7 linked regions of the Canis lupus familiaris genome follow. The protein of the gene in region 6 purifies or fractionates together with the protein of the main gene of each other region. This does not show direct contact. Links are inferred from orthologs where the notes say so. Each region holds a gene or a part of one and is shown on either strand. Other genes may lie near its edges.

What was found.
Region 1: the proteins of COPS3 (region 6) and COPS7A purify together in Homo sapiens (affinity purification with mass spectrometry; 14 studies listed by BioGRID and IntAct, counting the BioPlex papers as one, with this or other methods). This does not show direct contact. The link is inferred for Canis lupus familiaris from reciprocal best matches to the Homo sapiens genes COPS3 and COPS7A.
Region 2: the proteins of COPS3 (region 6) and DDB2 purify together in Homo sapiens (affinity purification with mass spectrometry; 7 studies listed by BioGRID and IntAct, with this or other methods). This does not show direct contact. The link is inferred for Canis lupus familiaris from reciprocal best matches to the Homo sapiens genes COPS3 and DDB2.
Region 3: the proteins of COPS3 (region 6) and BTBD2 purify together in Homo sapiens (affinity purification with mass spectrometry; 3 studies listed by BioGRID and IntAct, counting the BioPlex papers as one, with this or other methods). This does not show direct contact. The link is inferred for Canis lupus familiaris from reciprocal best matches to the Homo sapiens genes COPS3 and BTBD2.
Region 4: the proteins of COPS3 (region 6) and DCAF11 purify together in Homo sapiens (affinity purification with mass spectrometry; 3 studies listed by BioGRID and IntAct, counting the BioPlex papers as one, with this or other methods). This does not show direct contact. The link is inferred for Canis lupus familiaris from reciprocal best matches to the Homo sapiens genes COPS3 and DCAF11.
Region 5: the proteins of COPS3 (region 6) and CUL2 purify together in Homo sapiens (affinity purification with mass spectrometry; 5 studies listed by BioGRID and IntAct, counting the BioPlex papers as one, with this or other methods). This does not show direct contact. The link is inferred for Canis lupus familiaris from reciprocal best matches to the Homo sapiens genes COPS3 and CUL2.
Region 7: the proteins of COPS3 (region 6) and CUL4B purify together in Homo sapiens (affinity purification with mass spectrometry; 11 studies listed by BioGRID and IntAct, counting the BioPlex papers as one, with this or other methods). This does not show direct contact. The link is inferred for Canis lupus familiaris from reciprocal best matches to the Homo sapiens genes COPS3 and CUL4B.

Annotation. Positions count from the first base shown.
Region 1 is NC_049248.1:7,780,770-7,784,904, forward strand, and holds the start of COPS7A (COP9 signalosome complex subunit 7a), read left to right. Parts: upstream 1-1,335; 5' UTR 1,336-1,494; exon of another isoform or gene 1,495-1,607; intron 1,608-1,977; 5' UTR 1,978-2,020; coding exon 2,021-2,182; intron 2,183-3,850; coding exon 3,851-3,926; intron 3,927-4,135.
Region 2 is NC_049239.1:42,800,111-42,803,610, reverse strand, and holds part of DDB2 (DNA damage-binding protein 2), read left to right. Parts: exon of another isoform or gene 1-283; coding exon of another isoform or gene 284-410; intron 411-1,571; coding exon 1,572-1,708; intron 1,709-2,084; coding exon 2,085-2,276; intron 2,277-3,500.
Region 3 is NC_049241.1:57,467,772-57,471,271, forward strand, and holds part of BTBD2 (BTB/POZ domain-containing protein 2), read left to right. Parts: exon of another isoform or gene 1-789; intron 790-875; exon of another isoform or gene 876-990; intron 991-2,075; exon of another isoform or gene 2,076-2,205; coding exon 2,206-2,325; exon of another isoform or gene 2,326-2,375; intron 2,376-2,690; exon of another isoform or gene 2,691-3,500.
Region 4 is NC_049229.1:4,243,837-4,246,890, forward strand, and holds part of DCAF11 (DDB1- and CUL4-associated factor 11), read left to right. Parts: intron 1-48; coding exon 49-113; intron 114-422; coding exon 423-523; intron 524-752; coding exon 753-899; intron 900-1,106; coding exon 1,107-1,161; intron 1,162-1,736; coding exon 1,737-1,805; intron 1,806-2,166; coding exon 2,167-2,224; intron 2,225-2,324; coding exon 2,325-2,510; intron 2,511-2,953; coding exon 2,954-3,054. UniProt on the Homo sapiens protein: May function as a substrate receptor for CUL4-DDB1 E3 ubiquitin-protein ligase complex.
Region 5 is NC_049223.1:2,207,314-2,210,813, reverse strand, and holds part of CUL2 (cullin-2), read right to left. Parts: intron 1,792-3,500; coding exon 1,589-1,791; intron 1-1,588.
Region 6 is NC_049226.1:42,356,945-42,361,000, forward strand, and holds the start of COPS3 (COP9 signalosome complex subunit 3), read left to right. Parts: upstream 1-1,256; 5' UTR 1,257-1,369; coding exon 1,370-1,424; intron 1,425-4,056. UniProt on the Homo sapiens protein: Component of the COP9 signalosome complex (CSN), a complex involved in various cellular and developmental processes.
Region 7 is NC_049260.1:93,253,525-93,257,024, reverse strand, and holds part of CUL4B (cullin-4B), read left to right. Parts: intron 1-257; coding exon 258-373; intron 374-3,500.

The sequences.
Region 1 (4,135 bases), on a different chromosome or scaffold from region 6:
GCATCAAATGAATTAACTAAACCTCTTCATTCAGCATCTAACACAAAGTCCTCCAAAACGTCATTAACTTTATTCTTATTTGACCTTCTGCAAGCCCGTATGATGTAAAATACTACAGAACTGTTAGTTATTTATTATTTTTCCTAAAGTATCATGGTAACGTGGAAAGATAGTTTCCAGCTTGAAGAGACATGAGTTCCAGGCAAATCTCTAACTTTATTTTTTTTTATAGGTGTTCAATTTGAAATCTCTAACTTTTTTTTTAAGATTTTATTTATTCATAGAGACACAGAGATAGAGGCAGAGACACAGGCAGAGGGAGAAGCAGGCTCCATGCAGGGAGCCGGATGTGGGACTCAATTCCGGGACTCTAGGATCACGCCCTGAGCCAAAGGCAGACGCTCAACCACTGAGCCACCCAGGCATCCCGAAATCTCTAAATTTTTATGAGCATCAATTTCCTTATCTATAAAGTTAAAGTAATAACAGATACCTTCCTTACACCTAGGGGTTTTTCGTCTCGCAGGAATGAAAAGACTCGATGCGCACGAAAGCCTCACTCTACAAGTACTCCCGGAGTCACACTGGGGATGCAGTATAGTTACGAGGATTCAACGGGATGCAATTTTAAAAGATGCCTCACCAATAGTAAGCAATGTTACTACAATGTCAGTGTTACCTATTATTACTTCCTGTACTTTTCCCACTACTTTCCTCTTGCTCCTCAAAAAAAAAGGAGTGGTTAAAATAGCCAGGGAGGGGGATCCCTGGGTGGCGCAGCGGTTTAGCGCCTGCCTTTGGCCCAGGGCGCGATCCTGGAGACCCAGGATCGAATCCCACGTCGGGCTCCCGGTGCATGGAGCTTGCTTCTCCCTCTGCCTGTGTCTCTGCCTCCCTCTTTCTCTCTGTGTGACTATCATAAATAAATAAAAAATTTTTAAAAAAAATAAAAATAAAAAAAAAAATAAAATAGCCAGGGGATCCCTGCTGCGAAACTTCTACTATTCTTGTCTTCTTCCTGTCTCTCATTTCCCTCCCTCCCTTTTTTCCTTCTCCAGGCCGCTCTTTCTCATTACAGCTTTCCTGCCGCCTCCAGCGCCCTGTGCAGCCCGATCTCCAGGTTTCAAGCAGCTTTGAACAGACACTTAACCACCCGGTACCTGCTGCAGACAAGGGGCTCCCTTCGCATTTACCATCTAGCGCTCGTCGGACAATAAAGTTTTATTGAAACAAAGCAGGAAAAAAAAAAGACGCCGTCCTTCTTCCTCAACAGCCAATCAGAGAGTAGAATGACTGGCGCTCGCCGGAGCTTCAGCCGTCGGAAGGCGGGGGAGGGGCCTGGCCTCGCCAGAGCGGAAGTACGAGCCGGAAGCCCGCCATAGAGTGTAGTGGCCAGAGCGACTCTGCGGGGAGGTGGCAGGAAAGGCTTGGAACAGCTGCCGGAGGTGACGGAGTGGCTGCCCCGCCCGGTGTGCTGGAAGACGAAGCTTCCAGGTAGCGGCCCGCAGAGTCTGACCCAGGGTACGACGGGGCAGTCGGCGTGAGCCCGCGGTCCCTGGGCGGCCTCTTTAAGGGAGGGGGCGGAGCCACGTGGAAGGATCGTGAGGGTGAGGTCACGTGGTTGGGGGTACTTGTGCGGCACCGTGGAAATTTGAGGGAGCGTTGTTGTTAGGGTGGACGCCATGTGACACCCCTTCCCCCACCGCATCCTATGCCTTGGGGTTCAGTGGGGTGCACGTGGTGGGCCTTGGGATCAGGCCCAGGGATGGGGGAGGGGGCCTGGCAACTCTGTCTCAGCCAGGCGTCCGTCAAAGTGGCCGGTTTTCGGATTTCTAGAACCGAGTTTTAGACAGCCCCATCTCTCGTTCTTCATTTGTAGATGTGACTCAGTGCCTCTGCAGTCCAGCCCCTGGCCCCTGTGCTTCCCGCCCTCCCAGGGTTCAGGGACTTCCAGCTTCACATTCTCTCTCCTTGCAGCTCCAGATATCCTGAGCCCAGGCCCTCCCAGCTCAGTGCAGCCATGAGTGCCGAGGTGAAGGTGACAGGGCAGAACCAGGAGCAATTTCTGCTCTTGGCCAAGTCGGCCAAGGGGGCAGCGCTGGCCACACTCATCCACCAGGTGCTGGAGGCTCCTGGTGTCTACGTGTTTGGGGAACTGCTGGATATGCCTAATGTTAGAGAGGTGGGTTCCTGGCCTAGAAGGCACACATGGAAGCTTGGGACTAAGTCTGAATTTGAGAATGGGTGGGCAGGGCTCATTTGCAACCGCATAACCATTCGGTTGAACAGGAATATGGTGATGATTAATTAGCAGCTGGCAAAATAAGTAGGCAAGTAAACCTCTCACTTTCCTTTGCTGATGAATCATCTGTAAAACCCACTGTTTTTCATTTTTAAGCCAAAGAGTGATTCAGAAAAGGAGACCTAATTCCATCCTGTCTCCTCCAATGTAGTACCTCTTAGTAAGATCATGTTGCCTTGATCAGGTCACTTTTACTTTAAGACCTCCGTTTAAAATTGAAACTGATACTGCCCCTCAGTGTCAATTATAGGAATCAGGTCAGATTATGGGAAGTGTAGAATCTGGTACAATTGGGAGGAATGAACATGAAATTGGCAGCCCCTCCTCTCCTCACTTTGTACCCTTTGTTCATTCACTTAAGTTAGATAAGTGCCTAGAAGTGTTAGAAGGTGGCTTTCTCCCCGAGACATGTGGCAAGATGCTAGGGACACAGCAGAGAGAACTGTTCACATAGAGTTAAGAGTTTAAAGTCTAGGGGGTGCTGGATCACCAAGATGTGTGACATCAGCTCAAGTCCTGAGGTGCTATGGCATTGATATGCAGGCAAACTGTGTTAGCTTTTTGAGAGCCAGTAATTGATGGAGTCAATGGATTTAGCCTTCAGGAGTCACTGGTATATGGAGAAAACTCTGGCTGCCTTCTTTCCCTACGCTTTCTTCTACAGTGGAACTAAAGAGGGTCCGTTAAGGTGAAAAAAACAAGCATTTGTTGAGTGCTTGTTTATCTCTGCGGGTCATCTGGGAATACCAGAAAAGTGTAAGACACAGTGCTTATTATCCTCCTAAAACTTATATTCCAGTTGCAGAGATAAGATGAATGGATATGGCCATGTAAATTACTCATTTAGCAAGTATTTTCTGAGAGCCAAATAGCTCTGCAGACCTGAATAGCTCTGCAGACCTAACTGGGTGGGATACCAGGGCCTGGAGCTGTTATCATATTGGAAAGAAAGATATTCTTCGGTAACAGCCTAAGGGTTTGATCGATTAAGTGCCAGAATGAGTGATCAGTGATTGGAGAGGAGATCTGAGTGGGCTGGCCTGGATGATGAAAGCCTCCTGGGTGCTGCAGGTCTGACGTAGAGGCCATGCAGCTCTCAGAGATGCATGAGGGTAACGCAGGAGTGTTTGGTGAATTGGGAGGTACGGCAGACTGCCTACTCAGATTCAGAAATATTAAACATGCTCTAAGGACCAAAATGCAGTTTACAATGTCTGAGTGCGTGTGTGTGTGTGTACATGCATGTGCGCTCACTACCAAACACTCTGAATGTGCTCAGTTCTGAATTTGGGGTAAGAATGAAGACGTACGGAGAAAGAGGGCATGGTGGATTGGGGGGAGTAGTGTAGACAAGGGCCTGGAGGTGGCAATGAGGCCTTCGTATAGGGAGAGCCATCAGAGAGGCAGAGAAGTCCGGGGGGGGTTGGGGGCTGGGAGAGCTGATGGGAGAAGGGAGAGATGGGGCCAGAAAGTGGAATTGAAAACAGAATGAGGCTAGGGAACTGGAGAGACGCCTGTCCTGTCACCTCTTCCTTTGTATTTTTGCAGCTAGCTGAGAGTGATTTCGCTTCCACATTCCGGCTACTCACTGTGTTCGCCTATGGGACATATGCTGATTACTTAGGTAACCAGAGGGTTAGAGCTCTGGAGTAGTGGTGGGAGAAGGGCAGTTTCTGGAAGGACTTCAAAGAAATTCCTGGGAAACCCTCCTGGGGTACACAGGGTCAGGGTCAAGACCTGAATTGACATGGAAGACTAAAAAAATTTTTTTAAGTAGAGGGTAGGAAGCTAGGGCTTCCCACGAAAGTGTAATCAAGATTTCCTCTGCTTTGT
Region 2 (3,500 bases), on a different chromosome or scaffold from region 6:
GGCCATCTTTATTTCTGGCAGATCAGCTGACTGGCACTAGCTGGCCCAACACGTCGGCGCCATCCCGTCTCTCCAGGGAGCCCCTGAGCTCCTCCCCTCGCGTGCCCCAGTCTTCGCAGGAGGGGCGGGGCGGGAGCGAGAAGCCAGATTGAAAGCGGTGAGGCTGTTTGGCGGGAAGTTGGCGTAGTTCCCCGGTCCCCGCCTTGTTTCTCCCCAGAGGCTTCACAATCTTCCCTCCACGGTCTCGGCATAGGGCATAGTACCCTTTCGCACGGAGGACGCGATGGCTCCCAGGAAACGCCCAGAAACCCAGAAGACCCCCGAGGTGGCTGTGCGCCCCAAGAGCAAGAGGAGCAGAAGCCCCCGGGAGCTGGAGCCCGAGGCCAAGAAGCTCTGTGTGAAGGGCCCCGGTACTGCCTGCGCCTGCTGCTTTAATAATTCCGCCTTTTGGGGTTCTCACGCAGGAGGCTGGAGTGGGGGATGGGTGCTGCTGGTTTCCCGAGGCTCTCCCAAACTTCGGATGCCTCGAGCTGTACATTTTTCTGCAGGTCCTTTCACATCATAGAGCTTGGGCTTAACCCCCCTCAGGTGCCGGGAAGAGGCAGATGAGCTCCATTACATAAGACACAACGGACCTTCAAATTCCTTGTTTGTACCAGGATTTCTATACACTGAGAACTGCTTAAAATAATCCTACTTTGCCTAGTGGTGTGTGTGCTGAATTTCGATAGTCATGGTTGCTAGCTGTGTGTCCTTGGTTTCCGCTGTAAGAACCCGCAATTTCCTTAGGAAACTCATTCTCTGAGGTTTATTGGGGCTTGAACCTGGGGCTAAAGGAGTGTGAGGCAACACCGAAGACCAGCGGGGGGTTGTTGGTGAAGTGGGTTTTGTCCATAAGAAGAAGGAGTTGGTTGTCAAGAGGCCAGATTCCTAGAGACTAGGTCCTCAAATACATCTTTATTACTATTCTAAGTGAATTTACCTCCCCAACAGTAGCTTAGTTAACTTCAAGCCATGCCAGACCCTCTGGATCTGCTGGTTTCCAAAACTGATTGGACTTGGGGCCAATAATGGGTCACCTCTACATTATTTTAGTATAGGATTTAATGTTACTTCTTCCCCCCCCCCCCCCCCCCCCCCCCCCCCCCCGGTCGCTTCTGTGCTATCCTAAAATCCTTTCATTGTGCCTTATATGGGATTTTAAAATTGTCACTCAACCCTAGTATGAGTTTTCCGACCCACTGGGAAGAGTTCTTCATAAACTTTATTCTTGTGTGTTTCTTTAGCTCAATGCGCAGCAACCCTGCAAGGGTTTGGTTTCATATCGTTTTTTATTTAGTTTCGCTTCAGAATTACTATTTTGGGGAGTGTTTGGGGCAAGGGGCTGAATCCCTACTCCTTATTTATTTCTTGTGCCGGATGAGACTGAGCAGACCACAGAAAGGCCTTAGGTGATGGGAGAGATTGGCTGTGCCGAATGAAAAAACAAGGCTTTCTTTCTGAGATTTCAGCAGGAAACTCTTCCGTGCGTGAGAATGGAGAGGAAAATATGTGTCTGTTCTGCTTGGCAGGTTCTAGCAGAAGATTTGACTCAGGCTGCCTTTGGGCGGGGTTGGCTAGCCTGCAGGTCCCGCCATCATGCAGCAGCATCGTCAGGGCGCTCCACCACCATAAGCTGGGCAAAGCTGCCTGGCCGTCACTGCAGCAGGTGAGGCGTTTCCAGGCTGAAGTGCTCAAGGGTTTGCCTGGAACACTACTGGGATGTTCTAAAATTAGAGGCTGGGTTGGTTCAGTGGGTTGTCAGAGTGGTCAGATCACCTCTACCTTGGTGACTGACCTACTGGGCATTCAGCCAGGTAGAAGTCTTATGCTGTAAAGGTCTCATCTGGAATGCACTCTGCCCCCTTGCTTTCCAAGATTAGTTTGTGCACGTTGCAAATATTTTCATGCGCAGAGCCAGGCAGTTAGTTTTCCTCTGGTGGGAGGACTTGGCCCTAGAGCTCATCTGTGGAGGAGGCAGAGATTGGCAGTGTACCCAGGACTTGGGTTTTAATTCAACTTAATTCTTTTTTTCTCCATGTCAGGGTCTCCAGCAGTCCTTTTTGCATTCTCTGGCTTCTTACCGGATATTCCAAAAGGCTGCCCCTTTTGACAGGAGGGCCACATCCTTGGCATGGCATCCAACTCACCCCAGCACCCTGGCTGTGGGTTCCAAAGGGGGAGATATCATGCTCTGGAACTTTGGCATGAAGGACAAACCTACCTTCATTAAAGGGGTGAGCAGTCCCTGTGCCAGTCAATAGTGTGAAGAAGTGTTTGTTGAAGGAGTGGAAAGTTATCCAGTAACGAGGAGATGATTGGGATCAGAAGTAACTGGGTATTTTCAAACAAGTAAATGGTAACAATACTCAAATCTTCATTGAGGGCCAGCCCTTAAAACATTAGAAGGTGTGAAATATTGATCACCCTCTTGTACGTTATCACAGAGAACAGAATCTGAGCCCCTTCTTTATTCTTGGCCTCGTCTTCTACTACGGTCTTCCTCACTTCTGATGCTTTAGCCACACTAGCTATTTCTTTCTCTTCCTAAAACTGGGGCTTTGGACTTGCTATTCTCTTTGACTGGGGTACTTTTTCCCATGGTTTTCTCATGGCTGGCTCCCTCTTTTCATTCCAGTCTTGGCTTAGTATACTTTGTCAGACAGCTTTCACTGACCACTCTGTCTAAAGTAGCCTCTGCTTCATTCATTCACTCCCTATCCCATTACCCTGCTTCACTCCCACCCCACCCTGACACACACACACACACACACACACACACACACACACCCCACCCCCTGAGACAGCATTTATCAGTACCTGAAATGTTTTGCTTATTTGTATGTCTTTGCCCATATAAACCTCTTTGGAAAGTAAGGTCCATGATAAGAGGGACCTTATCTTTCTGGTTCACCACCATATCCTCAGTGCCTAGAACAATGTTTGGGCTAGAGTAGCTGCTTTGTATTTGATGAATGAATGAGAGCCTTCAAGTGTAACTGGGATGTATACATAGAAGATAACTGGCAACACGGATGCTAAATGCCACAGAACATGAGAGAAGGAAGAACCTCTTTGTGAGTTAAGAGTAGAGAAGGCTCATGATGAGTGGAGAGGGAGGAAGAGCAATAATTAGGGAAATGGAGAGAAAAAGGAAAGGGGGAGTGTGTTTGGGGCAAAGTTGGCATAGCGTTTTTTAGAGATGATTAGTATTTATCATCAGTTGCTGAGGGGCATGGTGTTGGTCCTTCCACGAAAGATAAGACTCTTAGTTTGCACAGCCGGGGGTGTTGACTATGGAGGGCTATTCTGGAAAAAACAGCCCTCTGGCTTTAGAGCAGAAGCCACAAACTCACGTGCTTAAGAAGCCAAACAGGAAAAAGAATGCTTGGGGTGGGGTCAGTGGTAAACTGGAGATGGTTGACATGCAGGAATCTAGGTCCCATGATGGTATCAGATCC
Region 3 (3,500 bases), on a different chromosome or scaffold from region 6:
CCGCGGGGAGCGCTCGGCCTTGGCGCCGCGTCCTACAGCGCGGTCCTGCCCTGCGGTCCTGCACCGGGCCTCGGCCTCCCCGGCGCGTTGCTGTGGTCGAGGGCGCGGGGCTTCCCTGGCCCCCAGGCACACAGACCGGCCCGGCCGCCGCCCCTCGGGGCTCCCTCTCCCCGCCTCGTTCAGGTGGCTCGTCATTGCTCTGCTCTTATTTCAAGTTTTTAAATCCGGGTGAAATATTCGTGACATGAGATTCACCGCCGTAACCGTCTCTGAGCGCACAGCCCGGGGCACGGAGCGCACTCACCCCACCGCGCAGAACCTTCCATCTCCCCACATGGAGCCCCCGCCCCTGGCTCCCGCCACCTCCTGTCTCTGTGGACGGGCCTCCTCTGGGGGCCTTCTGGGAGTGGGGTCCTGCGGGAGGCGTCCTTCTGGTCTGGGTCCCCTCCCTGAGCCCGGTGTCCTCGGGGTCCGTCCACGTGGGGCAGGTTTCGGGGTCCCTTCCTCCCCGGGGCTGGGTCACATCCCGGGTGTGGACGGACCGCTCTGCTCCCATGGATGGACACCCGGTGCTGCCTCTTTTGGCCACGGGGACACCAGCTCCGAACACAGACGTGCCCTGGGTGTGAAACCTCTGAGTCACGCGGGGCTGGTGTGTGGCCATCAGAGGAGCCGCGGCCACACCAGGGTCCTGCTGTCTCTGCATCTGTGTCACCTTGTCATGGTCTCTGGGTGTCTTCTGGGCCGCCGTTGGCAGGCTGAGCTGGCGTCTCCCCGGGGCACCTGCATCTGGGAGGAGGGACCGTGACCCTGGGGGCTGAGGCAGGGGTGAGCAGAGGGCCGGGGGGCGGGGGGGGTAGTGGTATGGGGCCGACCTGCGGCCCGTGCGGTGGCCTGTCCAGGGCCCTGGGACAGCGTCAGGCGGGGGGTGCACCCCCCCAGGTGCGGGCAGCGGCCTCTCCTGCAGGCGATCAAGGTGCTTGCTTAAATCTGGAAAGAAAAAAAAATAAAATAAAAAAAAAAATAAATCTGGAAAGAAAGGAACAGGAAGGCACCTATTTAGGATGGATGGTGGGATGGATGGCCTGTGGGAGGGCAGAGGGGCTGGGCCGCCCCAGTGAGTGCCGGGTGGGGGGGGTAGGAGGGAGGAGGAGGCCAGGGTGGAGAGCAAGGAGGCCCCGGGTCGCAGGTGACACTGCCTCCCGGGCTCCGGGGGGGCCCTTGCTGGCCTCACTCCTGGGATCTGCGTGTCCCCGGGCGGTGGGCTCATCCCCTGGTGTCTGCGCCTGTGTCCCGAGGCCCCTCTTACGAGGACGCGGGCATGGGGTCGGCCCCCGTAGGACGGGAACCAGTCACACGGACAGAGACTGTTTCCAGGTGAGGCCCTCCTGCGGCTTTCCGGTGGACGTGACTTTGGGGGAGGCCGTTCGCCCCGGTGTCCTCGGTTCCCATCGGGCCGTCTCGGGTCTGGTCTCGGGTCTGGTCCTTGGCCCGGTCAAGCCCTGCGCGCCCTGCGGCCCCCTCGGGGCTGGGAGATGCGCCCGGGGGGAGGAGATGGTGGGGGCTGGGGCAGGGCGGAGGCCTCCAGCCGGGGTCGCGGGAACCTCGGGCAGGCTGCTCCGAGCCCTGCGTGTGTCGGGGTGGGGACCCCGGGCGGGTGTGATGCGGGGCCCGTGGACCTGGGTCCGGCCCTCGTGGGCGTCCGAGGTGGGGGGGCAGCGCCAGCCTGGGCTGGGTCAGGAGGCCCCCGACCCCCCAGCCCCAGGCAGGGGTCCAGCGGGGTGCCTCACGGCTTGTCCTCACCCACGGGGCACCCGTCCTCGAGTGGAGAGGACATGGCCGGTGGGGCCCACGTGGTCACCTCGCGGCCACCACCTCGTAACGCTGCCCTGGGCTCCTGCCCTTCCCTGGGCCCCCGCCCGCCCGGGGCCCTGCCAAGCCTTCCCTGACCCCCCCCAGGCCGTGCCCTTGACCGGGTCTGCCCCCTGGGCGAAGGCGGGATGGGCGCTGCGGGGGCACGGGGGGGGGGGGGGGCGTGGGGTGGGGATTGCACGTGTCCGCCCGCCCCTTGCCACCTTCCTTCTGGAAGCATCTGCCAGCAGTGCTCGCGGCCGGTGTGTGCTCTGTGCTGGGCCCGGTGCCCCAGACTCGGGGCCGGGAACCGGCGGGCGCGCGGAGGGTCACCAGGCTCCTCTCTGACGCCAGGTTCGTGCTGGCCGTGGGCAGTGCCGTGTTCGACGCCATGTTCAACGGGGGAATGGCCACCACGTCCACGGAGATCGAGCTGCCCGACGTGGAGCCGGCCGCCTTCCTGGCGCTGCTCAAGTAAGACTTTCTAGATCTTTCACCGTGGGGTGGGGCGGGGCAGCCTGTCGCTGTCAGAAAGTAGCCGGAGGTAAGGAGACCCCCAGGGACAGGCCCGAGCCCCGGCCCCGCGGGATCTCCAGAGCCGCCTGTGCAGCGGTGGGGGGGTGCCCTGGAGGCCCCGCCCCACCGTCACGTGTGTGTATCTCGACGTGTGCTGCACACGCGTACGGTTCGCCCTTTGGCGGTGTGCTCCGCGCTGGTCTGCACTGCGTCCCCAGGGTTGGCGTCTCTCTGCGCCTGCTACCGCCACCTCCCGTCACCCCCCAGCCCCCGGCCCCCCGGCGCCCCTCCCCATCCTGGACGGGTCACACCCGTGGACTCACACCCCGTGGGGCCTCCTGTGTCTGGTCCCTCCAAGAGCGTTGGGAGCGCAGGCGAGTCCCCGTTCTCACCCTGTCGTCAGCAGGGGCTTTGGAAGAAGTGAGGTCACCTCCACCTCCAGGTTTTCCTTCTTGAGCCTCAGCAGCATTCCCTCCCGGGGTTAGTGGAAGAGCAGCGGGCGGGGGCCTGGCTGTCCCCAGGGGCTGTCCCCACTCCGCGGGGCGCGGGCTCCAGCTTCCAGAAATGCCGAGTGTAAAGGGCGTGGGGACTGACAGTCTGCCCCACGCAGGTAAAACATCTTTTGAAACGCAGAGTTTTTTTCTCTCATGATTATAAAGATGACGTAGGCTCGCAGAGGGAGAGGAAGGAAGGAAGGAAGGAAAAAATAAAGGAGAGAGGGGAGCTGGCCCCATCCGCCGTGCCCACGCGGGAGGCCTGCCTGTGCGTCTGGGGCGGCCGCCCTCTGCCCTGTGCCCTCCTCCCTCCCGCCGTCACGGCTTACTGATGGGCAGCATTGTATTCTGGTTGGTTCCATCTGTGGATGCCCCTTAATCCTTGACGCTGTCTGGTGTGGTCAGTCCTGTGTGCCACTCCCATCTCCCTGATGACAGCAGTTTGGGGAACAGTCTCATGAGTTTGTCGTCCCGTAGCTCCTCAGGTTGCCTACACCTGGGGCACGTGACTCCGTCTCCACCACTCACCCTGCCACTGCCATCGTGAAAGCAGCCACGAGGATTTGTAAACGGTGGGGGAGGCCATGTGCCAATAAAACTTTATTTACAAAACAGGTGACAAAACCATGATGAGCTATC
Region 4 (3,054 bases), on a different chromosome or scaffold from region 6:
AGTGGCCCTCTGTTTCTGCTAGCAATATTCCCCAATCCCTTCCTTTAGAGAGAACGGGGCCTCTGCCACCGGGGAAGCTTCTCCCTTGGAGAACGGTCTCGAATGATGTCTCAGTGAGTATGGGGCTTGGTGGAGAGACTCTAAGAGCCAGATAGGTTTTATCCCTTAAACTTTGAAGAGGCAGGTGTTAGAGGATGCTCAGGGATATTAAAGTTAGGTTGAATGGGATCAAAGCTTGAGGGTAAACAAACTGGAAGAGTATAGAAATTAAGAGGATGATTGAATGAATGAAAGAAAAGGGATCGTACCCCAAGGCAAAAGGGAAGTCCACCCTTGTACTCACACTCACTGTTAGGATTCTGCTAACCAGGACGTTCCTCTTCCTCAGCTCCCTTTACCTTCACTTTGCCTCTGCTTTCCAGCTTCTTGCCCAATGATCTGGGCTTCACTGACACCTACTCTCAGAAGGCTTTCTGTGGCATCTACAGCAAAGATGGTCAGATCTTCATGTCTGCTTGCCAAGGTACCACCAGACCCTGGTCCTGCAAACTGCCCTGGAACAAGGAGCATACCCTCTGACTGAGGCTAGAAGGACCCAGGCCCAAGGAACTCCCTGGGTTAGGGATGCTTGGCCAGAACATGTTTCCCATGATCAAGGGAAGATTCCACAGATGTACAGAGGAAGAGAGGTCAGATCTAGAGAGGATGCCAGGAGGGGGTTCCCTAATTCTGCCTGATTCCTACTTCCCCAGACCAGACGATCCGACTGTATGACTGCCGGTATGGCCGCTTTCATAAATTCAAGAGCATCAAGGCCCGGGATGTAGGCTGGAGCGTCCTAGATGTGGCCTTCACCCCTGATGGGAATCACTTCCTATACTCAAGCTGGTCTGATTACAGTGAGTATGCCCCAGACTTCCACTGGCTCTCCAGCTCTGGACCTCTCCAAATGTCCATGTCCTCTGTGCCAGGACTCCATGCCTCCTCCCGGGAAAATCACTCCCAGGGTCTCACATCCTTGCCCTTTGCTCCGTCTCCTGCCTAACTTCACTTCCACCCAAGTTCCCCCAGCCCTGAAAGATTCTTGTTTCTCTTGCCTCTCTTAGTTCATATCTGCAACATCTACGGGGAGGGAGACACACACACTGCCCTGGATCTAAGGTACTGGCTTCCCTCCTTGGGCAAACTCTTCAGAAACTTCTCAAGGAAGGCTCTCCAGGAGCAAACCTCTTGAACTGGAACTCCTGCTTTGAGGGAAGAGTACACTGGTTGCAAGTGTCTCTGTGTGGATTCCTGGGAGGGAAGCACCTATCCTTGTCAGCCAGAGGACCAGGGTAAAATAGATGGTTGTAGGATTATTTAGGGTTCTCATGGAGGTAATTCACATTCTGGGACGTATTGGCAGGACTTTTTTTTCCCCTTAGAAGTACACCTTGCAACCCTCATTAGATTCTTTTTTTTTTTTTTTTAATTTTTTTTTTAATTTTTATTTATTTATGATAGTCACAGAGAGAGAGAGAGAGAGAGGCAGAGACACAGGCAGAGGGAGAAGCAGGCTCCATGCACCGGGAGCCTGATGTGGGATTCGATCCCGGGTCTCCAGGATCGCGCCCTGGGCCAAAGGCAGGCGCTAAACCACCGCGCCACCCAGGGATCCCCCCTCATTAGATTCTGTGTAGACTAACAGAGGCTGAAGGAGGCCCACTTCACCCAGCTCCTTCTCTGCTTCTTTTTAGGCCAGATGAGCGTCGCTTTGCTGTCTTTTCCATTGCTGTCTCCTCCGATGGACGGGAAGTGCTAGGAGGGTGAGTATCGGTAGGGGATGCAGCCCTTGATCAGGGAGAGGGGAGTACTCCCAGAGGCCAGCTCTGCTGTCTCAGAGACTACTGGACACAGCTATCCAGGCAGCTGTGGAGAGCAGCCAGCCTGTTTTTCTCCAAGGTCAGCGTTTCAGAGCTACTTCACCTCTTGCTCACCATTTCCCCAGCATGAAATGAAAGGTCTCAAACCTCCTTGCAAACATAGCTAACTTTTCTCCCACCTCCTGCGTATAGAGACTGGGGCTTTCCCTTCAGCAGGACTCTGCAAGAGAGACTCTCCAGAGCATACATAACAATGATTCTCTTGGTTCTGGCCCCAGGACCCTCTTCATCCCTTCCCTTTCAGGGCAAATGACGGCTGCCTATATGTCTTTGATCGAGAACAGAACCGGCGCACCCTTCAGGTATTGCTCTCGAGACTTAGAGCCTCTGCCTCCCAGTCCTTGGCCCTATTAGAAGACCTAGCAAGAGGCCCTAGGTATTCTGGCTTCCTTCATCCCCTAGATTGAGTCCCACGAGGATGATGTGAATGCAGTGGCCTTTGCTGACATAAGCTCTCAGATCCTGTTTTCTGGGGGTGACGATGCCATCTGCAAAGTGTGGGATCGACGCACCATGCGGGAGGACGACCCCAAACCTGTGGGCGCACTGGCTGGGCACCAGGATGGCATCACCTTCATTGACAGTAAGGTGGGCAGTGAAGCAGACCTGCACATCCAGGTTACAGTTGTCCGGGAGCATGTCACAGTGGCCTGGTGTAGGGACTCACCGAGCTCCTTATTAGTTAAGGTTTGCAAGAGCTGGAGTTTAGGGAAGGGCTTAAGCCAAGAAACACGAGATCCTTCTGTATTCACCAGCCCTGAGCAGGGCAGGGCTTTTTGTAGAAGGAAAGAAGACCATTAATCCAGGATAGAATGGGAGGCCCAGCCAGTGCCTGGGGCAAAGAAGGGAAAACCAAGCCAGGGGGTGGGTTCTGTGGTAGAAAACCAGCAGTGAGCTGGCCTGGATGAAGCAAGAGGCAAGCTAAGTCAAAGGACTGGCATTCTTACCCTTTACCTGGAGAAGAGCTAGACAGACACAACCACCAGTATTCGCAAGCTCTGATGCCTTGTTATCCATCTGGGGATTCCCAGGGTGATGCCCGCTATCTCATCTCCAACTCCAAAGACCAGACCATCAAGCTCTGGGATATCCGACGCTTTTCTAGTCGGGAAGGAATGGAGGCCTCACGGCA
Region 5 (3,500 bases), on a different chromosome or scaffold from region 6:
AAGTTTACCCTCGAATTCATGTTTTACTGTCTGCCAGAAGCACGTGGCCTCTTTTCAAGTGAAAGTTGTTAAGTCAATTTTTATAATCACAACTATCAAGCTTATGAAAGCCACTCTGATCACACATGGTGTTTTCTCCATTAGCAAGATCAAAAAGCACTTAGCAAATGAATTCATTCTCAATAATAAGCTAAGAAGTTCTGCTAAGGAACAGCAGATTCATAGTTAAAATTTATGTGCAAACAAGCAATCATCTATATTTTGTACATTCCCGGGCAGCAAAAATAATACATTTTAGAAAATACATAATGTCTTAAGTACTTAATTTAGCTTATAAACTTAAACTTTTTAGGTTATAAGCTTAAAAATTCATGCTTAATGATTGACTCAATTAAAATCTTAATATTAAGAATTTAATATTTTGTTAAGATTCTGAAATCAAAAATTAATTTCTCAGTATTAAGAAAAGCTTGATTTGAATTTCAAAATATATGCCATTTAAAACTATTTAATTATAGGCTACAAAATATCATCCAGCAGGGGCGCTTGGAGGGTATAGTTGGTTAAGCGTCTGACTCTTGGTTTCAGCTCAGGTCATGATCTCAGGGTTATGAGATTGAGACCTGTGTTGGGCTCCACATTCAGCAGGGAATCTGCTTAGGATTCTCTTCTCCCTCTGCCTCTCCTGCCACCCCCCAAATAAATAAATCTTTAAAAATATATATCATTAATTAAGTGAACTGATGACAGAAATAGTAGGCTATTAACTTCACCAAAATAAAAATGATGTCTGATTTATAAGAATTTTTTCTTACAGGCACAATTCGAATTAGGAGATTTAACTCACATCTGTTGCTTTTGAATCATTTAAATATCCAGGATATATATATATATATACTATAACAGTAACAAAAACGTGTTACTAGGGAAAAAAAGCTATTAAGAAAAGTAGTATATTCCTGGCTTGCTATTCTTGTGACAATATATTTGTACTACAAATATATGGTGGTTATTAGTTGAGTCCTGGACTGAAGGGACAGAAGAGTGAGAGCATTCAGAATTGTCACACAAGCTAAATATACATATAAATAATATCAATAGTCATTTTCTATTAGAACCATGTAATTAAATAATTAAATATCAATTAAACACATGTGAAAAAAATCAGGAAGATTTAGGATATGCTATTGTTTTTAGCCTCAATTAACCAGAATCCAGCCAATTATAAAGGGCACAGAGGCACCAACTTCTCTGTGATTCCACAAGCTCACAGCTCTAAGTAGCCAGCAGTATTGCTAGCTGACTCCAGTGCTTTCCAAAGTACAAAGGGTATTACTGATTATAATCTTACTTTAAAAACTGCAAACGTCTCAAGCTATAATGTTTATAATGCTTAAATTCCTCGAAATAGGGATGGAGCGTTTGCCTTCAGCTCAGGGTATTATCCCAGGATCCGGGATTGGGTCCCGCATCAGGCTCCCTGTGAGGAGCCTGCTTCTCTCTCTGTCTATGTCTCTGCCTCTCTGTCTCTCATGAATAAATAAATCAATCTTTAAAAAAAAGAATTCCTTGAAATATTACCCCATACCTTTTCTGAATCATGGTTAATCATTTTCACATCAAGTAATGATTTGATTGTTTTTGTCAGTTCCTTTTCATTCATTTGAGTGCTGTCTTGAAGTTCTTTATAGCTGACAGTTTCACTGTTGTTAAAGGCAAGAAGAACTGCCATTTGGTATGTAGTAACCATGGCTACATATGGTTTGCCCAAATAGTTCATTTTAACTTCACCTACAATTAAAACAAAATTGTGACAATAAACTGATCATTCAAAGAAATATTTCAAAGTTGTTTGAGTAATAATTATTTATTTCAGCTACTTTCTCCTGAAAGAATGAGCCAAGGACTTACTAAATTGTTACTAGCAGTGTAATCAGTTTATTTGTTTCGGGGGATCGGAGGGAGGGCTATTAGTTTTGAGTATGCAGTATAAATCACAATTAAACTATCAGACCTCTACCAGTGTGTAACAATGTCTTTAAGTGTTAATAGGAAAGCTAAGACCTGGACAAGAAAAAAGCAGAAACAGGAGGTGAGGGCAGGAGAAATGGACAAAAGGAGAGAATGACAGCAGGTGACCAGTAATGGCTTTATGTGCTGCCTCTATCTTGGTTCAAGCACTCAGGGAGGTCCACAGGTGTAAAGGAGATGCTTCTCCAGTGGCTCCATCTAACCCACAGCTTCTGCTAAAATTTAACAATGCTACTTTATCTCATAAACATCATTCTTCCCAGTAACTTTCTAGGGTCATACAAATGGGAGGAGAGACAAAAAGAAAGATCCATTATTTTGTGGAAATAGTTGATAGAACAAAAAAGCTCTAGATTCTATGCCAACCTGAAAGCTATAAAGGATACAGCAGGTTTAGGCACACTACGGTTCTGGGACATTCCAGAGGGACAGCACACTAAAAAGTTTGTAACAAACAGTATGACAAACATGTACATGTATGCACTCTGTAACACATAAAATAAAAAGCTAATGCAAGTCAACAAACTGTTTCCTAAAGCATAAAGCTGTAGTTTAGTGACTGTATTTGTCTTTCTCATATACACACCCCCTGCATTATTCAACTGTCAATGGATTATAAACTAAACCGCTACAGATCTAGTTTTAGAGCTCTACATTTTAACTTAAGGGAGCTGTATGAACCTTCATGAACCTACCCCAGAGGCTACATTCTCCCTGTTAGTAGTAATTAGTAACTCTGATCAAGATTTTGTGGTTCCTTTATTTATATATATATATATAATTAAACATTTTAAAAAGATAGTCAATTCTCCAACTTACTATGACACAGATGGCTATTCAAACTTTCATTATGCCTCAACCTATTTCAGAAACAACCGTTATTCAGATAATTATTTGGAAACACCTAAAAAAAATTCCTTGTCTCTGAATTTTCATGAAAGGTGGTTAATAATAATGAATTAGAATAATCAATTCACACAAAATAGTTTAAGTAAAAAGTTAATATTAGGAGTATCCTACCAACATTAGCACAAAGAATATTTTAAGGACTTTCATTTCAACATTTAAGTTTGGGAAATGTGGTGAAAAGTCAAATATCACATAAATTGTTAGCATTTGTGCAATGACTGTTTAATCATATGTCAGAAACAAGTATGGAATAATGCATCAAGCACCTAGATGATGAAGTAGGACCACCAGGCTACCCATCACTGATGCTGTCAGGGCCCAGAATGAGCCCCCTGCCACACCCAACAACAGTCTTTTATCACCATCAGAACCCAAGGAGCATTAGGAGACAACACAAGTAAAGGGTCAAAATATCATTTATTTATTATTAAGTTCATTCTGCAACACTAGAAAAACTAGTTAGCACTCTATTAAAACTTTTTTCCTGTTTTTTTAATTGTCAGCATTAGGGGTACATGGGCCTCTTGCCTCCTTTTCAGCACTATTATCTTACAAGTTCA
Region 6 (4,056 bases):
GGAGACAGAGGTGGCTTTCCGCCAAGAGGACCCCGGGGTTCCCGAGGGAACCCATCCGGAGGAGGAAATGTCCAGCTCCGAGCTGGGGACTGGCAGTGCCCCAATTCGGGGTGTGGAAACCGGAACTTCACCTGGAGAACATAATGCAACCAGTGTAAGGCCCCGAAGCCCGAAGGCTTCCTTCCACCACCCTTCCCGCCCCCGGGCGGTGACCGTGGCAGAGGCGGCCCTGGTGGCCTGCGGGGAGGAAGAGGTGGCCTCATGGACCGCGGTGGTCCCGGTGGGATGTTCAGAGGTGGCCGCGGTGGAGACAGAGGGGGCTTCCGTGGTGGCCGGGGCATGGACCGAGGTGGCTTTGGCGGAGGAAGACGAGGCGGTCCTGGTGGGCCCCCTGAACCTTTGATGGAACAGATGGGAGGAAGAAGAGGCGGGCGTGGAGGACCTGGAAAAATGGATAAAGGCGAGCACCGTCAGGGGCGCAGGGACCCGCCCTACTAGACGCAGAGACCCCGCAGGGCTGCCATGACTACCAGATTTATTTTTTAAACCAGAAAATGTTTTAAATTTATAATTCCATATTTATAATGTTGGCCACAACATTATGATTATTCCTTGTCTGTACTTTAGTATTTTTCACCATTTGTGAAGAAACATTAAAACAAGTTAAATGGTAGTGTGCCGAGTTTTTTTTCCTTCTTTTAAAGATGGTTGTTTAAAGACTAAACAATGGGAACCCCTTGTGAGCATGCTCAGTATCATTGTGGAGAACCAAGAGGGCCTCTAACTGTAACAATGTTCATGGTTGTGATTTTTTTTTAAATAAAATTCCAAATGTTTATTAAAAAAAAGAAAGAAAGAAAGAAGAAAGAAAGAAAGAAAGAAAGAAAGCCACACAGCGCTTAAGTAGTAGGGAAGGGATTTGAATCCAGGCTACCTGCCTGGCTCCAGTCTTCCTGACAGGTAAAAGCCTCATGGAAGAGGCGGCAATTAAGCCAGGCTTGAAGGATCTGGCCAGGTGGAAAACAGGACTGCCATTCCAAGCAAAATCCGGGAAATATGCGCCTAATTACAAGTTTCGTTTCTTCCTTTGCCCGGAGCCCCATTAAATAGCAGGAGGAATTTCATAAGTGCACCGAATAAAGAGAGAAGGAAAAGAAATCGAACTTCCGGCGGCGCTAAGCAGTAGAACTGTTTCCATGGGAACAGTAACTGCTTCCCAGGTAGGTGAGATCTCGCGGTGCGTGAGCCGGCGGAAGTGACGTCGGGCCGCTGTTGAGGCCCTGTGGAGGATAGCCGCGGCCCCTCCTCCCAGAGCAGCCGCCTTTTCCCGCGTGAGCTGCCTCTGCTGCTTGGGCCGCCGCGGGGAAATATGGCGTCTGCCCTGGAGCAATTCGTGAACAGTGTCCGACAGCTCTCGGCTCAAGGTGAGGCCCTGGACCGCCGGGCCGGGCCTGGGCGGGCCTTCCGGGCCGCGGGGACGGGCTTGCAACCCCAGCCGCCAGCGCGGACGGCTGGGACCTCCCTGTTGGTCCCGAGCCTCGTCTTCGGGGCCGGGCTTGGGGTTGCGGCGCTTAGACCAGGGAGGGATCGGGCGCGGCTGAGTTGGGGCAGCCCCCTTGCGCTCTAGGTCTCCGTTGCTCTCGTCTGCCTGCCCGTGCGCTTGGCGACCTGGCCACCTCCCCTCGCTGGGGCCGGCTGGACCCTCCTCCCCCCGGCCCGGGCCCCTTCCACCCGGGCGCTCCGCTTGACAGTTTTGGGGGCAGTGACTTCCGGTGGACGCCTTCCCGAGCGCCCATTGGTCTCCTCGGCCTCCCTTGCCTGCGGTGATTGGTACACCGCCTCGTCTGTCACCCTGGCGCTTGGCCGCCGCTGGGCTAGGCCGCGGGCAGCAGGCGCGAGATGAATCCTTTCTGGGTGCCTTGGCTCGGAGGCTCGCCTTGGCCGGCCCCTCGGATGCCGGCCGGCGCGCCCTCGGGAAGCCTCCGCGCCTATTTTAGTCCCGCAGAGTGCAGAGGGAGCTCTCGCTCGAAGGGCTCCATTTCCAGGGGCGGAATGATGACCGTTGTTACTTAAATTTTCATGCTCTTTGATTCAATTAATCTCATCAACCTGCATATAGGATGCTGGACTCAGAATTCAAGTAATCAGCTGCAGGCTGCGAAGGTCCCTTTAACTACCCTGTCTCTTTATCTCTAAGGTAAAAATAAGCCCCTGCTTCAGAGGTGTTGGGCTTGAATGAGAGGAACTTTGTAAAAGCACTTGAAACACTACCTCATATTTGGAGTGCAGTAGATGCAGTTAAAAATTATTGCTAGCAGCTATTAATCTGTAAGGTTCTAGGAGCTGCGTGGACAAGTCACCTTTAATCTCTTGAGTCTCAATCTCCATTTGTAAAAATAGAGGAGTGCTATGTCCCTCACTGTTGTTATGAGTTAACTGATCGGATATGAAGCTATACTTAATGAAGTACTTCTCCTTACCCTTATTAAAGAAACGAGGTTCACAGGTAAGGCACAGACTTGCAGTCTCTATGAATGAAGAAAACATTCATTCATTTATGCCACAAACTGTTTGATTTCTACTTCCTAGGATGTAGTATGGGTATTTAATTTAGATTTGGGTTAGAATCTTGTCAATCACTACATGTGTGAGCCACTTAATTTTCCCTGGGCCAGTTTTCTCACAAAATGAAGCAGGGACTATTTAGCATCAAGTGAGATTTATCTGAAAGCTTTGCATGGATGCTGTGCAAGTCACTGCTTTAGGAACAGTCTGCCAGGCAGAGATAAAATTGATACTTTCGCTGCCTGTGGCTTCTGTGCCTCATGGTCACTGCCTAGTAAATGTTTTTGAGGCTTCTGTTTTTTCTGCTCTTACTCAGAATTTTCTCTTTTTTGAGATTTTATTTATTTATTCCTGAGAGACACAGAGAAGAGAGGGAGAGACATAGGCAGAGGGAGAAGCAGGTTCCCTGTATGGAGCCCGATGTGGGACTCGATCCTAGGACCCCGGGATCATGACCTGAGCAGAAGGCATACACTCAGTCACTGAGCCACCCAGATGCCCCCTCTTACTCAGAATTTTCTAATGTGGACCTTAAGTGAAGGGAGTTTCATAATGTCCAGCTTTCTTTGATTAGAGGAAATTTCTTAGGCCACATGTCTGATTGGGTTCGTGTCAGATGCGCCCTGTGGCACTGAACTTATTGTTAACTCTCCCCTTGACCTACATTAATTATAATTCTTATAATTTCATAGTGACCTAGCTTTTATTTTAAGTCTCAACTCTGCATTGATTACTTAATTGGGGAAAAATAATAGACTGAAATATTTATTTCTGTGTTTCATATCATTGTAAATGTATTTAGAGTAGCAAGTAAAAAGGAGGCAAATTGTGTAGAAGATTTCACATTTAGCAGTGAGATTTATAATAAAATGGTGGTATTTCCCCATTCAACTTGTGTTATCTCTGAAAGATGATGCCTAATCAGATCACAGATTTTTTTATTCTTATTTTGCAGTGCTGTTATGTGATGATAATATATTTCTTTATATTTGATAAAAATTTAATAGTATAGAAGGCCGAGAAACGAAATTACCAAAGTTCCTAGCTACAGTCACTTTTTTTTTTAAGATTTTATTAATTTTATTCATGAGACACAGAGAGAGAGAGAGAGAGAGAGAGAGAAGCAGAGACACAGGCAGAAGGAGAAACAGGCTCCATGCAGGGAGCCTGACGCAGGACTCGATCCCGGGACTCCAGGATCACGCCCTGGGCCAAAGGCAGGCGCTAAACCGCTGAGCCCAGAGATCCCCAGTCACTTGGTTTTTAAGTATTCTACTATTTAAGTGGTTTTTTTTTTTTTTTTTTTTTGGTAAGAAGAAAAATCCCTCAGCTACTAAATAAAAATAGCTGATATTTATAGTTTGAAGTTCAAAATGCAAAAGAGAACTCTAAAGGAGAAGACAAGTGGTTGTTGCCCATGGACTTATATAAACCCCATACACAGCACCACCATTACCCCCAGGAGAATGGCTGAGTAGCCTTGGCAAGTGT
Region 7 (3,500 bases), on a different chromosome or scaffold from region 6:
ACAGTCAATTGAAAAAAAAACCTCTCACCTTTAATTTTAATAGGTGAGTCAAAATGACTTAAACAGTATTCTGGCATTTCAAATTTTATTCTTTATGCTAAGGCTAAAAAGCAGTAATTACTTTAATAATTAGATGTTGTGATTATAAAAATCACAATTTACCCTTGAAAAGCAATAATACTATTACTGTACTTTAGTGGAGCCTTCCATTACTATATCCTACATATTCTGATATCAACCTTGTACATATCACCTAGATAAGCCTAAATTACCAGAGAACTACACAGATGAAACATGGCAGAAGCTGAAAGAAGCAGTGGAAGCTATCCAGAATAGTACTTCAATTAAGTACAATTTAGAAGAACTCTACCAGGTATGTATTAATGTGGATAACCAGATTTGGCAAGCATAAATTGAAGTAGTATGTAAAATATGGATTTTACTTTGAAATGACTCCTTATGTAGACTTTTGGTTTCCTTCTAATGAAAATGTCTTGATTTATGTACTCTGCTTTATAATCAGACCACATATTCTGACATACTCTAACATTCTGACATAAACTATGAGTATAGTCATACTGGTATATATTGGGTTTACCTTGGACCCTTCTGACTGGGATTTATAGTGAGGAATACCTTGGTATTATCAAGGGTTTACCTATAATGGAATCATACAGCCTGGATCCCAAAGGTGTGATTTCTGATGACAAGTCATTCTGTTATGGTACTTATCCCTAAGTGGTGTTACTCACCTATAGGAAAGGCCTCAAGAAATGTAGATATTCTCTATATGCTTTATCCTCCCTCATTCATATTAGTAGCCTTTTGCCATTTCTTTTTCCTTTAAAAAAATAGTTTATTCATGAGAGATACACAGAGAGAGGCAGAGGGAGAAACAGGCTCCTCTCAGGGAGCCCAATGTGGGACTCCTGGGTTGGGGATCATGCCCTGAGCCAAAGGCAGACACTCAATTGCTGAGCCACCCAGGCGTCCTTGCCATTTCTTCTTCTTGTTCTTCATGTTTGTTTTATTTTCTGGGCTACAAGATTGTCTTTAGCCAAAAAATCAGCAGATTATAGTACAGTGACTTGATCTGAGGTTCAGGTTTGTTTCTTTTGCTTTATAAATGGGTTTATACTTGAAGTATTCAGTTTAAATATACCATTAAGGGCAATTACTGATTTAGACTTCTTACTACCATGATTTTGCTCTACTGTATTTTTTAAAAGATTTTATTTATTTATTAGAGTGCACATGCACAAGCTGAGGGGGCGCAGGGAGAGAGAGAAGTAGACTCTCCGCTGAGTGGGAGCATGACATGGGAGCTCAATCCCAGGACCCTGAGATCTTGACCTGAACCGAAGGCAGTCACTTAACCAACTGAGCCATCCGGGGGCCCCTGCCCTACCGTACCGTATTTTTGACGCAACCACTTCAAGAAGTTACTTTGCATTATAGTGTAAGCAGTTTCATGTAGAAAAATACTTCAGAATCCAATAGCTTGTGTATTTTTTAGAGAGCAAGTGCGTGCGCTAATGAGCAGTGGGGGGGAGCAGAGGGAGAGAGAATCTCAAGCGGTCTCTGCGCTGAGCATGGAGCCTGACTCTGGGTCCTGAGATTTCAGAACCCCAAGATCATGACCTGAGCCAAAAACTCAGGATATTTAACCAACTGTGCCACCGAGGTGCCCTGCTTGTTCTTTTCATATTGATAAGTACCTTGTAAGAAATTAAGTGGTTTGATTTATCAGAATTTGTAATTTTTATCTATTCATTTTAGTTGCAGAGATATTACGGTAATGGTTAAACCCTGTATTAGGAATCTGAAGACAGGGATCCCTGGGTGGCGCAGCGGTTTGGCGCCTGCCTTTGGCCCAGGGTGCGATCCTGGAGACCCGGGATCAAATCCCACATCGGGCTCCTGGTGCATGGAGCCTGCTTCTCCCTCTGCCTGTGTCTCTGCCTCTCTCTCTCTCTCTCTGTGACTATTATAAAGAAATAAAAATTAAAAAAAAAACTGTAAGGAATCTGAAGACAGATTTGGGATCTTGTTTTGGTGGCTATTACCCTTGTGATCTTGAGCAAGAAACTAGACCTCCTTCAACTTCAGTTTCTTCCTTTGTAAAATAGGGGAAAGAATACTTGTCCTATCTACCTCAAAAACACTTTGAAATGCTATATTCTAGAAATATAAGATGATGTAGTAAAGCTCTTGCATAAGTCACAGTGTGGTTTTTTTTACTTGTAATAAGTCAATTACGATCACCAGGTTCTATTGCTGTGAAAATCTCAAGGAGTCAGTGCATGGAAAACACTCAGAACATGCCCAACACATAGTAATAATGTTACACAATATAATCATTATAACACTGTGTTAAGTAGTACAAAGCTATTAAGGATAAGCCCACCTTATTTGACTATGTTGGTATGTTACATATGAGGCTTCTGAGTTGTACAGTAATAAAAGTAGAATTATGGAATTAGAATTGGAAAGACCTTAAGAAATTGTGTAGTCCAGTAGCTTTTTTTCATATAGTGCAGGTGGCCCTCTACAAATCAGGTTTATCTTTTATATCTTTTCAGTATTATAGAAACCCTTTGTCAAGTAGAGTAGTAGTTATTATTCCTCTATTGATGAGGAAATCGAGTCTCAGGGATGTTAAATAACGTGCCCAGACTCAAACTGAGATGGCCAATTTTCAAGTCCAGTGCACATTCACTACTGTGTTGCTTCAATAATACACCACAGCACTTCAAGTGCCTCTATAGTGTAGTGTATGTAAGAGACAAATAAATAGTTTTACTTTAGGGAAAAAAACTGTCACCAAATAAATTTTTTCATATGTGTGTGTGTATGTATGTATATGGTGATTATTTGGATACATTTTATATTTATAGCATATTGGCTGTGATTGTTAATGAACCCTATTTACTTTACCTTGAATATTTTTATAGACTTTTGGGGTTCAAAAATATTTTCCTGATAAATTGATTCTGTTAAATTTCCTTTGTTTCAAGAGCTCATAGCTTGCATTTTTGTGTTTTTCATTTTATCTAATTCAGAGTTACCACCTGCTATTGTTCAGTTGTATTTCTTTAGCCTAAAAACAGTGTTATAACTGTTTACTCTCTATATTTTTTACAGTACTTTACTATTTTTGCTGAAGTAAATTCAAAAGTATTTGTTTCTAGCTCTTTTGTTGTTTTTCACCCTAATTTTATAAATGCTCCCTTTGGATTATTCTCAGAGAGTTTATTTTGAGAATTTCAAGTTCAAAAAAGGATAAAAAGATAAAGGGAGTAAAATTGTTTTGTACCATCTGGATTTCAGGTACTTGTTTAATTTTGACTGAAATGTAAATTAAAAGTACTCTTCCTTTTTTTAATGTTTTATTTTTTTAAAAGATTTTATTTGCACAGAGAGAGCATGTGTACAAGCAAGGAGAGCAGCAGGCAGAGTGAGAAGGGAGAAGCAGGCTCCCTGCTCAGCAGGGAACCCAA